Ovis aries: one gene and its partners. The protein of the gene in region 1 interacts with the protein of each later gene in a pairwise test. Links are inferred from orthologs where the notes say so. Each region holds a gene or a part of one and is shown in the gene's direction. Other genes may lie near its edges.

Region 1 (3,600 bases):
CCGCACGTGGCAGGGTGGGGGACGGCGAACCCCGCTGGGGAGGGTGGCCAGAGCCAAACTCCAGACGCAGAAGTGCTGGCCAGCCTCCCTGGGACCTCCACTCCCAGCCCCTTGACTTACAGTCAGAGTCCACCACCCACCCCAGGTGGACTCTGAGCTAAAGCCTGGGACCCAACATGGTGGGCCCACCCCCACCCCCCACCCCAACCAGAGACCCTGACGCCCCAGGCCAGCAAATATGAGGAGACCCTGCCTAGGTGCCTAGCCCACCCTCCTCAGCCCAAAGCTCGCCTCCTCCAGGGAGCCTTCCTTGCTTCTCAGTGCACACAGCCCTCTCCCAGCCGCCAGTCACAGGATCAGGGGGCTCACCTCTCGCCACTTCCCGAGACACAGCCCCCGCCCCCGCCCCCCCCCCGCTCCCTTTAAACCCCCACCGCCTCCAGCTCCCACAGCTTCTGTCCCGCACGGACGGGTGTCTGTCCGGCTCCCTCTTTAAGTCTCAGCTCAAAAGACACCCCGAGTGCCCTCCCGACCCTCAGAGCCGGCGCTCCCGGGTCACTGGCGCCCGCCCCTGCCGAGCGCGGACTGGAGCCTGGGCCGCCAGCGCCTCCCCCGGGAAGAAGGCAGGAGGGGGGGCCAAGCTGACCGCGGCGACGGCCGGAGCCCCCACCGGCTGGGTCGCCCCGCGCCGCCCGCCTGCAGGGATACGGGCAGCTACCGGGCCGGGACCGTTACTGTGCAGGCGACCCGGCCAGGCGGCGACCTCGAGGGTCCCTCGGACTCTGCGCAGAGACCCCCGAGTGCCCGCGGGCAGCGGCCCCAGGCGGAGAGGCCGCCCCCTGCCCGGCCCCTCCGGCCGCTCTCCGCGCCCCAGACCCGGCTCGCAACTTGTTGCTGAAACGCGGCTCGCGCTCTGCGCTCGGGGCCCCAGTTCGCGCGGGCCCGGCCGCACTCCGCCCGCGGCCCGGCAGGGGCGCTGTACCTGCCTCGCGCCCGCCGCGCGGAGTCGGTCGGCCGGGCACGAGGAACGCGAACGCCGCCGCCGAGCCCTTGCGGCCCCGCGCGGACGCCGTAGGCCGGGACGTACCAAGGCGCGGGCGGGGGGCTCCCGCCGGGCCCCGCCCCCGGCCCCGGCCCCCGGGCCCCGGCCCCCGGGCCCGCGCCCGCCGGAGGAGCCGCCGTCGCGGCGGGAGGCGGATGCCGGCGGCGCCGGGGCCGCGGGGAGGTGCACGGGGCGGGCCGGGCCGGCACCCCCGCGCCATGGGCGCGCCATGGGCACGCCGGGGCGGAAGCGCCGGGGGATCCGGGCGTCGGGCCGCCGGGCCGCGAAGCTTCTAGCTCCCGCGCCGCCGCCATGATCATCCCCGTTCGCTGCTTCACGTGTGGCAAGATCGTCGGCAACAAGTGGGAGGCCTACCTGGGCCTGCTGCAGGCCGAGTACACCGAGGGGTGAGGGGCGCGCTCCCGGCCGCCGGCCTGCGGGGCCCGGGGCGGGGAGGGTTTCCCAGCCTGCGCGGCCCGGGGCGAGGACAGGGGCGCCCGGCCTAAGGGGAGGGTTTCCCAGCCTGCGGGGCCCGGGGCGGCGGGACGGGGGCCCGGCCTGCGGGGCCCGGGGCGAGGACAGGGGCGCCCGGCCTAAGGGGAGGGTTTCCCAGCCTGCGGGGCTCGGAGCGAGGACACGGGGGCCCCGGCCTGCGGGGCCCGGGGCAGGGTCAAGGGGGCCTAGCCTGCGGCGTCGGCGTCTCGGGCGGCTGTCGAGGATCCAGGCTTGAGGGGTTGGGGTCTTGAGGCGGCAGTCAGGGGTCTTGGTCTCCAGGTCAGGAGCAAGGGACGTTCATCAGATCCCAGGTGACGCCGGCAAGGCTTTTATTCCCGGAGCCTTTGCCAGCCCTGTTCTCCAGACCTGCTCTCAGGAAAGCGTCTCCCACCCCCCAGTTCAGGCAGACGAGGGGAGCTAGTTGTCAAGCGCTGGTGTCTGGGGACTCGAGTATTCTGGCTCCACGCCTCCACCGCAGATAGGCCCCTGGCCACCTCTGTCCGTCAGCTCCCTAAGTTCTCCCTGCTATTAGGCCCACCCCGTGTCCTCAAAGACACTGATGCTGGGCAAGATGGAAGGCGAAAGGAGAAAGGAGCGGCAGAGGAGGACGCGGTTAGGTAGCATCAGCAGCTCAATGGACAGGAGTTCAAGCAAACTCTGGGAGATAGAGGAGAACATGAGCTCAGCGAGCTGCAGTCCATGGCGTCACGGACACGACCGAGCGGCTGAACAACAAACCGTGTCTTGCAGACTCACGGGCTTTTTTAGTACATAGGACAAGCTTCTGATCACATAGCCGTCATCATCAGGCTTTTGTGGGGTCCCTTTTCCGTGTTTGCCCCTTGGCACTGCAGTTACCGCCTTACTTGTCTGAGTTTACCCTAGACAAGAGTCTGACTTTGGTCCTTGTGTGGACAGCCCCATCCTTATCAAAGTGTGAACCTCTGGGACCTGGAGTGTGGTAGCAGGTGAGGTTCTCCGTGTAGCTGTGTTGGGTGGATAGGGAAGCAACGGACGGCCGTAGTATCTGCACCAGGCTTCGAGGAGGCTGCTGGAATGACCACAGTGCGAGTGAATGCTGGCAGCCTGCCCCAGACTCCTCCCCGAGATGCCCCAGGCCAGGGCTGCCCAAGCGGCCGCCCCTTTTATGGGTGCCACGCTGGTGCCCACACACAGGAGGCTTTGAGGGTGACTGGGGCCGTGTCTCTGGGAGGTGAGGGGGGCTGCTCCCCCCGGGCGAGGCCCTCTGTCTGCCGGGAGGAGCAGGCTGCAGCCAGATCTCTCCCCACCTGCAGGGACGCCCTGGACGCGCTGGGCCTGAAGCGCTACTGCTGCCGCCGCATGCTGCTTGCCCACGTGGACCTGATCGAGAAGCTGCTCAACTACGCTCCCCTGGAGAAGTGAGCCCGCGATGCCGCAGGGGGCGTCTCACCCATGGCTTGTTCCCCTGGGGTGTGGGGCGCCGGAAGCCACGCCCGCCCACGGCTCTGTTGGCGTGGGTCTTCCTCCCTGGAAAGAACTGTCTAGTAAATGTTTCTGAGGACTGCCAGGAAGTCCTAACAGTTGGTCTGGGTTTGTGGGCTGCCCCGCCGGTTCCTGGGGTTCTACCTGGTGCCCGAGGCCCGCACGGCCCAGGAGGAGGGTGGGCCTTCCATACGGGAGTGCTCAGCACGGGGCTCCCTTCCTCTGTGGGCGCTTGGCCCCACAGAAGACACAGATGTCACGAGTGCTTGGGGTGGGGGCACCGGCGTCCCACAGCGCTGTTCTGGGTGCCCTTCAGCCGAGAACAGAGGTCCCCACTTCCTCCCCCGGTATCTAATGCTCCAGACTTTCTGCGCTCTGAGTGGAGTGCTCCCTGTGGTCACAGCTGCGCATCCTGAGGTTGCTGCCGCCAGAAGCTTCCAGGCTCCACCCACAGCAGGCAGGCAGCTCCACTCCACCCCTGAGACCCCACAGCAGGTGGGAGGTGCCCTGAGGCAGCTCTCCTGGGCATCTGTTCTGAATGGGCTCTCAGTGCCCAGGCGTTAAATGCGTTGCCCTGAAAACCAACTAGAGAGCTGTCT
Region 2 (4,433 bases), on another chromosome or scaffold:
CAGAAAACATTTTCCTCTCTTTTCATTTAGCAATGCTTTTAGAAAAAAAGGAAACTGTTAACGAATTCTGTACACCTTTTAAAAAGCCAAATAAGCTTCTTGCAGGTTTTGCACCCCCTTAAGATCTTTCTTGGGGGTCTTGGAGCTATCCCTTTGAAATCTGAACATCAAGGAAGATGGGGCCCTGGCTACCTATCTCTGGGAGTTTCAACCTCGAGTTTTAGCTCCAAGATGTAATTCCGATTATTTTCCCTTGGGAGAAAGACAACAGGCATTGTAGTTGATTGCATCTATCTGATGATATAAACGAGTGAGATTTCCTTTTTCTCTTTGCGGTCTCTTAAGTGCATCACAATATGGTTTACGGCTTATGCTAATCATAAAACTGTTTCATTGTTTTCTATATTTTGTGGAAAGGATGCTTTGGTTGGGGGTGGTGACAGGAGAGTTTATTTTTAATTATTTCCCAACTGGGGCCTCCAGTTTGGGCACTTGTATGGCTGATAGCTCCCATTGCCCCTCCATACTTATTTTAAACGGTAAAGGAAAGTGGAAAGAGCACGGAGTTCTGGAGTCCGAAACCTTGAGTTTAAACTGTTCTTTCTTACTAGCATTCTGATGTACAGGCAAGTTACTTCTCTGAACCCTGATTGCCTCATCTATAAAATGAGGATAATAATTCATTATAAAGGGGGTAACTAAACTGACACATACAAAATTCTTTATACAGGAAGGAAACAAAAGTTATCCTAGATTCTGATGCTACACGTTCGTCCTTTCCTTGTGAGTCTGTCAAATCCCAATGGGGTGTCCACTTCATTAACTTGGAGCACTGAGTAACGAGGAAACGAACTCACACTGCGGACCTTACTAGCTTGAAAAGTTTTTTAGTTTGTCAAGTACGTTAACAGAGTCCTCACAAAGGAGATGTTGCAAAGGTATATCAGACTGCGGGGGTCCCCGTATGCAAATACCTGAATTACAGGCTCACCGAGGCCGCGGCAGCTTCCGCACTTCCCCTCGAGGGCGCTCCGGGACGCCCGCGCTGCGCCGCCCGCCGGTCCGGGGGCGGAGATTTGCATGTGCGACAGAGGGAAGAGGGGGAACCACCCAACGAAAACCCCGACCGTCGTTCCCCCTAGCCTGGGAGGGGAGGGCCCGCCCCGAAGTGCTCGCGGGAGGGCAGCCGGCCCTTCTCGACGTCACCGCACCCTCCCACCCCTCCTGAACTTTAAGCCACGCGCCCAAGAACATCCTGGAGGAGGGGGATTTCTCGGGGACCGGCGGCTTTCGCACGCTCGGGGCCGTCACTCCCCGGCTCCCAGCGTTCCCTACGTTCCCGGAGAGGCAGCTTCCCCGACCGGTTCCCGAGCCCACCCGGCATTCAGGAGACGGGCGGGTGGGCGGGGCATGGGCGGGACGGGGCCCGGCAGCGGTCGGCGGACGCTCGCGCGCCGGTCGCAGGACGCTCCGCCTCCGCCCCCGCCCCCGCCCCGGGGTACGGAGGTGAGGGATCCTACGTCAGTCTCTGGAAGTCCCCCTCCCGCTGGGCTGTCCGCCTCTCAGGCAGACCTGCTCTCCGCTGTAGCTGCGCTCCGTCTTCTGGCTTCTGCCACCTGGACGAGCGACGCCGGGTGACCGGAGCGCGAGGATTAAGCGGGTGGGAAGGTGTGAGCCGCAAATCCAGAGGAGGGCGGGAAGGAGGAGGAGGAGGAGGCCCGGGGGTGGTCAGGGGGACTGGGGATCCCGCCAGCAGAGGTCCCTGGGCGGCCCGACTGACGGGCTGAGTGACTGTAGCGGCCTCCGGTCCGGACGCTCGGAGCGGGGCGGCGCTGTGAGCGGAGCAATGGCCTCAGGTGAGTGTTCCCGGCGCGGGCTACCGACGGCCGGGCGTGGGCAGGGTCCCGGACAGCGGGGAGCGAAGGAGTGCGTCCGAGGATCTAACTACTCAGGGTTTCGGGGGCCCAGTTTTGGTTATGTCTCATTCTGTTTTTAAAATCGCCTCTGGTAAGTTTGTCAGCCTTTTAAAAGTGACCTGGTTCAGGGTTTGCGTGCGAAATCGAAGTCACGCTCTGTAACTTGATGCCATTGTAATAGCCGGAACCTTAGACCTTCCAGAAGACTTTGTTTTTGGATTAAGGAAGTAATAAGAATCTAAATAAAGGAGGACGAAAGAGTTCCCGTATTTTTAAATTGATTTAAGTTGAAATGGTGGTGTTTCGTTTTAGAATAGGAATGAGGAACCTTCCGGTCTCAGGAGAGCTTATCTTTTTTTAAGTTCAGTTTCATCAGTTGCCAAGAGGTGATCGCAGTTGTGCTGACAGTTGGACAAATGTGACGCGCCTTTAAAAATCACCAGTGGTATTTTAACAAGTCTTAAGTGGAAATGTTGCTTCAACAAGTGGATCATTTTTACTGTAAAGTGCGTACTTTTTAATTTATGGAGCAGAAATCGAGTTTTGTTCTCTTTTGTTGGAAGGAAGGGGAAAAGAGGATTTTTAGGATCCCCGTGCTTTAAAGTAACGGGTGAGAATGAAAACTTTCTGTCACTTACGTGAATACTTATTTGTAGACAGTAAATGCGGGGATCTCTTGCTTTACCTAGAAACTGCTTAAAGGATGCGGGAGGGAGCCTCCCCATCCAGCTGTGGTTTAGGTTAGCCTGCAACCTAAGGGTTACTAAATCAAGTAGGCTGCTTTGGAGTGGGACCTTCACAGGAGTCTGTCACGGTTCTTGGAGGCACCTTCCCTGCAAGAGTGAGCAGAGGCAAGGAGGCCTAAAGTGTGGATTAACGCAGAGGCTGAAGACAACAGGAGGCTGAAGAAGGAGGCTTGTTTATGTTTGACCTGCATCCTCCCAACACCCTGGTTCAGTGACCCACAGTAGAAAACTGAGGACTACCAGAGAAGAGGAAGTAGAAAGCATAAAGGACTTTTTTTTTTTAAAAACAGGGTTGAGCAGAACAAAGAGGTAGCTACTGCTCTAGGCCAAAAAGGAAATTGGGGTGGTTCACATGACATTTGATTTCAGTTTGTCTGTGGTTTTCTGTGAGAATACAAATGTAGTTTAAAATATTTCAACTTTCTCTTTAGCCACTTCAGTGACCCTAAACTTTCAGATAATCTTGTAAATTCATAAATTCAGACCATGTTGAGATTAAAAGTGCAAAGATGATTGAAACACTTGGTTAATTTATTGACTCTCAGAAGGATTTTGTATGAAAGTTAAAGAATGGTTAGCATAATAAAGTAAACAGAAAAATCAGCCTTCTGGTAATTTAACCAAACTTTGTTGATATATGGTGTGAATGTAACACTTGTAATCCATTCAAAAGAGAGAAAGAAGAATTAGCCATTTATATGGACTATTGTAAGACCCACATCATTTAAAAATGTGGTACAATTTAAACTTGTTTAAAACTGACATTTGTTTTTGTCTTAGTGAGAGGACTGATTTCCTAAATTGAGGGGGGAAAATTTTAAAGGGTAATTATCACCCTCCCCTTTTCTGGAATTATATTAAAATGACACTATTTAAAATGTAACAAGTTATTTAAATTGTAATTCTGTTGTTTGAAAACTACTAAGGAAAAATCTGGGTGTACTTTCCTTAATCATTTGTAAAAATCTTAGAGAAAAAGATTCACAAAATTATAAGCTCCCATCCTGTTTTGAAACAGTAATTTAAGCAAAAGAGTAACTGAAAAAAACTTCTGCTTAGTTTACCATTGTCTAGTTTATAGTTTGTAGTACAGAGTATAAAAACCTCAGAAAGTATTTTTATTGATTACCAAGCATTTAAGACTGTTTCTTCATTTCTCACCGGATGTTATATGTAAATAGGTGTCTGTAGTTGAATATATGGTCTGTATAATATGACAGTAACATCATAATCTCATAAATAAAATTATATAAGTACTATGAATAACTGGGACTATATGTATGATTCTAAATTTTGTTCAGTTAAACTGTCATATTTAGGATTTCACAGCTTGAGTTCTATCAAGCTGTCTTGATTACTTTTTTTTTTTAATTACACCTTGATTCCATTCTTTTGACACAGTTAATTAGGATAGGCATTAAAAAGAAGTTCTCAGTCCCATCCAAGGTATACATAAGCAGTCCTTACTCTTGTATATTTATGATTCTAATCTGTTTTAAGGTAAATAAAATTAGCTATTTTTTGGTCTGAATTTAAAGCTTCTCCTTATTCCAGTAGAAGGTGCAAATGTTTTTGTGTGCTTTGTTTACTAATAAATAGTACTGTCTTTGGTAAAATATGTATTCAAATTTAGATAATTTATTTTTACTTACAGTTTTAAAAATTATTATTTTTTAAATTGGAATATAGTTGATTTATAGTATTGTTTTAGTTTCATGTGTACAGCATAGTGACTGGGTTGTTTTTACAGATTATATTCCATTATATGTTG
Region 3 (3,642 bases), on another chromosome or scaffold:
TTGCTCTGCAGAGGATCGCCTCGCTGCTCACCCTCCTCACCCAGCTGACCTTGGCAGCCGGCCGCATCGCCCCTGAACCCAATAGGTAGGCCCTGGCCCCGAGCTGCCGGTGGAGAGTCGTCCTGCCGGGAGCTCTGGGATCGGTGGGAGGGCTCCTCCACAGAAAGAGGGTGGCCGGAGCCTAGAGGGCAGTCCGGGCAGCCAGATCCTCACCCGGCCCCTTTTGGCTCTCCTGTAGTTACTCTGCTGAGGCCAGTCTGTTGGCCAGCCCTTCCTCAATCACTTGGACACAGGTGTCTGGGCTCCAGCCTCTCGTGGAGCCATGTCTCAAACAGACCTTGAAGTTGCTGCCCAGACCTGAGATGTGGAGTGCCCTGGGCCCAGTGCCCACTGCCTGCCTGCTCTTCCTGGATGCCTACTACCAGGCCTGGAGCCAGCAGGTACGTGTTGCCTACTCGCCTTCCCGCCTGCCCTAGGTGCCCCGTCTGTGTCTTAGCATTCTGCCCTCTTTCTCGTGTCTCCACCTGTCCACACCTCCCTCTTGCCACCTTTCCTGCCCTCCACCTTTTCCCTCCTACCATTTTTCCTCTTTGCACCTTCACATCCAGTAGAGCTTCCAAGGAGCCATGTTGGTAGAGGCCAGAGAACCCCAAATAGCAGCTTAGCCTCCCTACGGCCGTTATACCCTCTCATGACCCTGCCAGCACATCCTCAGAGTCTTCTCTCCCTCCAGAAGGGTCAGAAGGCAGAAGCCTCTAAACACTGACTCTGGGGATCTTGGAATCATAGGCTCAGCCAGAGTGCACAGGATAGGAGGATGGGGGCTCCTGGGCCATCAGCTCTGAGTCGCATGGTCTTCCAGCCAGGCCTGTGCCCAGAGGATTGGCTGCAGGATATGGAGCGCCTGTCAGAGGGGCTGCTGCTGCCCCTGCTGAAACACCCTTCTCTGGGCAGCCTGTGGGATTCCCTGAGGTATGTACTATGTGTGTGGTGGAGGTTGGTGAAGGGAGGCAGTTTTGCTCCTTGTGGGGTTCCTGAGTCCATTCAGCTTGAGGGAGACCTGAATCCCTAGTAGGCAGCAGCTGGGGGCTCCAGGGAACATGGGCCCTGTCTGCATGGCCACCTTGACACTGGCCTTGGCCGCAGACACTCCAGCACACCTCAGACCAGAGCCCCCTTGGCTTCTCCACTCTGCCTCCAGGTGCTGCTCCCCTCTGTGCAACCCACAGTCCTGTGCTGTGACCCCTGAAACTGTCTCCAGCCTCGTGTCACTGGGCTGTGCAGGGGGCCACCCCCCTCTCAGTCTGGCTGGCTCAGCTTCCCCCTTCCCGTTCCTCACGGCCCTCCTGTCTCTTCTTAACACCCTGGGCCGGATCCACAAAGGACTGTGTGGCCAGGTGAGTGCTGGGGGCCAAGATTGCAGGACTGTCGGGGAGGGCACCCCTTGGGGAAAGGAGGCCTGTTTTGTCAAACCCTCACTTCCGAGTCTGGCAGGGAACGGGTGGCCGGGGAGCCCCAGAAGGCATCGAAGTCACCTTCCAAATCTGAACACACGTACTCTTCCTCAGCTGGCCACCGTACTGGCTGCCCCGGGACTCCAGAACTATTTCTTGCGATGTGTGTCTCCCGTGGCCGCTCCGCACCTCACCTCCTTCTCTGCGTGGGCCCTGCGCCACGAGTACCACCTGCAATACCTGGCACTCACCCTGGCCCAGAGAGCGGTGGGTGCCCCTAACCCCCCACCCCATCCTGCCTCCCTGGAACACGTGCTGCTGCTAACAGGCCATGCAGCTCCTACTTCCCTGAAGACATGCCCAGAATCTGTGCCTATTGGCACGTATTCTCTTCCTCACTTCTGTTCCCCGTGCCCCCTCACCCCCTCTGCCTCCTCTTCCTCCTTCCCCCTTTTCTGTCCATAGGCAACACTGCAGCCACCAGTGTCAGGCACCGACGCGGTCCTCTGTCACAGCATGGCCTTGGCCCTGCTGGGCCGGCTGCTGCCTGGGAGTGAGCACCTCGCCCATGAGCTGATGCTGAGCTGTGTGTTCCGGCTGGAGTTCCTCCCGTAAGTCCAGGCTTGGTAGCATCAACTCAGCCCTTTCAAAAAGCTGCTGTGGTGGTTGCCAGAGCAGCTCTGAATTGGGAACCGGAAGACCTGGGCTTAATTTTCTTTCTTCCATGGATTACACTTAGCCTGTCTTGAGTTTCCGTTTCCTTATTAGTTAAGTGAGAATGAGGATAACACACTAGGGTATTATTATGAGACTTCTGTGACTGTATGGTTGGAAAATGGTTATAAACTAGCTGTACACTTGTAGAGCTAACAGTTACTCAGTGCTTACTCTTTGTCTCATCCCCCTTAACTATATGTCTGTAATTATTTAACCCTTACTATGAGATGGGTATTATCGTCATTATTATCATCCCCATTTTACTATGTGGGAACCGAGGCAGAGTTCTGTAAATGAGTACCAAGGTAACTCTCTCTAGTGTCCGTCCTCTTAACTGCCATGTGGCTGGTTATTAGGGGGACAGGAAGCAGCAGGATTGGACCTGGGAGCCTCTTGGAGGCCCTGGAGAGTTGGTGGCCTTGTGGGTTCTTGCCCTCATTTTTGTTTTCGGGTTCTGTTACAGAGAAGGAGCATCAGGGGGTCCGGAGGCAGCTGACTTCTCTGACCGGCTCTCCTTAGGAAGCGGCGGAGACCTTGGATGTGGGCGAGGGACTCTCCTAGCTCAGGCCTGCCAGGACCTCCCCAGCATCCGCAGCTGCTACCTGACCCACTGCTCACTGGCCCGGGCTAGTCTGCTCGCCTCCCAAGCCTTGTACAGAGGGGAGCTCCGGCGAGTCCCAGCCTTGCTGCTCCCTGTGCCTAAGGAGCCGCTGCTGCCCACTGACTGGCCTTTCCTGCCATTGATTCAACTCTACCACCGGGCCTCAGACACCCCCTCGGGGCTCCCTCCTGCTGACACTGTGGGCACAGCCCTGCGGGCCCTGCAGTGGGTGCTCATCCTGGAGAGCTGGCGCCCCCGGGCGCTCTGGGCTGTGTCTCCTGCTGCCCGCCTGGCGCGGCTCATGTGTGTGTTCCTGGTGGACAGTGAGTTGTTCCGGGAGACCCCAATACAACGCCTGGTGGCAGCCCTCCTGGCCCGGCTCTGCCAGCCTGAAGTCCTACCAAATCTCAACCTGGATTGCCCACTTCCTGGCCTGACATCTTTCCCGGACCTCTATGCCAACTTCCTGGAGCATTTTGAGGCTGTCTCTTTTGGGGACCACCTCTTTGGGGCTCTGATTCTCCTTCCCCTACAGCGTCGATTCAGCGTCACCTTGCGCCTCGCCCTCTTTGGGGAGCACGTGGGTGCCTTGCGAGCTCTGGGCCTGCCACTGACCCAGGTACTTTCTCAGCCCAGCAGGGCCAACCATGGTCATCCTGTCCTGGGCCTTGGAAGCACTCCTGAGCAGCGGGGTGCTTTGGTGGCCTGAGGTTCTTTATCTTACCTCTTGGGGGCTTTGAGGAGATGAGAAAATACATGAAAAGGGTTTATCATGGTAACTGGCATACCATAGGTGTTCATTATTATTAGTGGCACTGTTCCTTGCTCGTGAGGTGCTACAGTGTAGACAAGAGATGTACTGAAACCAAT

The links.
Region 2: the proteins of POLR2L (region 1) and REL interact in binary tests that used the Homo sapiens proteins (3 or more experiments, as listed by UniProt). The two-hybrid records come from large-scale screens. The link is inferred for Ovis aries from reciprocal best matches to the Homo sapiens genes POLR2L and REL.
Region 3: the proteins of POLR2L (region 1) and RPAP1 interact in binary tests that used the Homo sapiens proteins (3 or more experiments, as listed by UniProt). The link is inferred for Ovis aries from reciprocal best matches to the Homo sapiens genes POLR2L and RPAP1.

The regions. Positions count from the first base shown.
Region 1 is NC_056074.1:46,914,998-46,918,597, forward strand, and holds POLR2L (DNA-directed RNA polymerases I, II, and III subunit RPABC5), read left to right. Parts: upstream 1-1,320; 5' UTR 1,321-1,354; coding exon 1,355-1,449; intron 1,450-2,832; coding exon 2,833-2,941; 3' UTR 2,942-3,090; downstream 3,091-3,600. UniProt on the Homo sapiens protein: DNA-dependent RNA polymerase catalyzes the transcription of DNA into RNA using the four ribonucleoside triphosphates as substrates.
Region 2 is NC_056056.1:63,129,079-63,133,511, reverse strand, and holds the start of REL (proto-oncogene c-Rel), read left to right. Parts: upstream 1-1,530; 5' UTR 1,531-1,846; coding exon 1,847-1,856; intron 1,857-4,433. UniProt on the Homo sapiens protein: Proto-oncogene that may play a role in differentiation and lymphopoiesis.
Region 3 is NC_056060.1:35,150,788-35,154,429, reverse strand, and holds part of RPAP1 (RNA polymerase II-associated protein 1), read left to right. Parts: coding exon 1-85; intron 86-238; coding exon 239-440; intron 441-862; coding exon 863-972; intron 973-1,201; coding exon 1,202-1,397; intron 1,398-1,568; coding exon 1,569-1,721; intron 1,722-1,919; coding exon 1,920-2,065; intron 2,066-2,634; coding exon 2,635-3,391; intron 3,392-3,642. UniProt on the Homo sapiens protein: Forms an interface between the RNA polymerase II enzyme and chaperone/scaffolding protein, suggesting that it is required to connect RNA polymerase II to regulators of protein complex formation.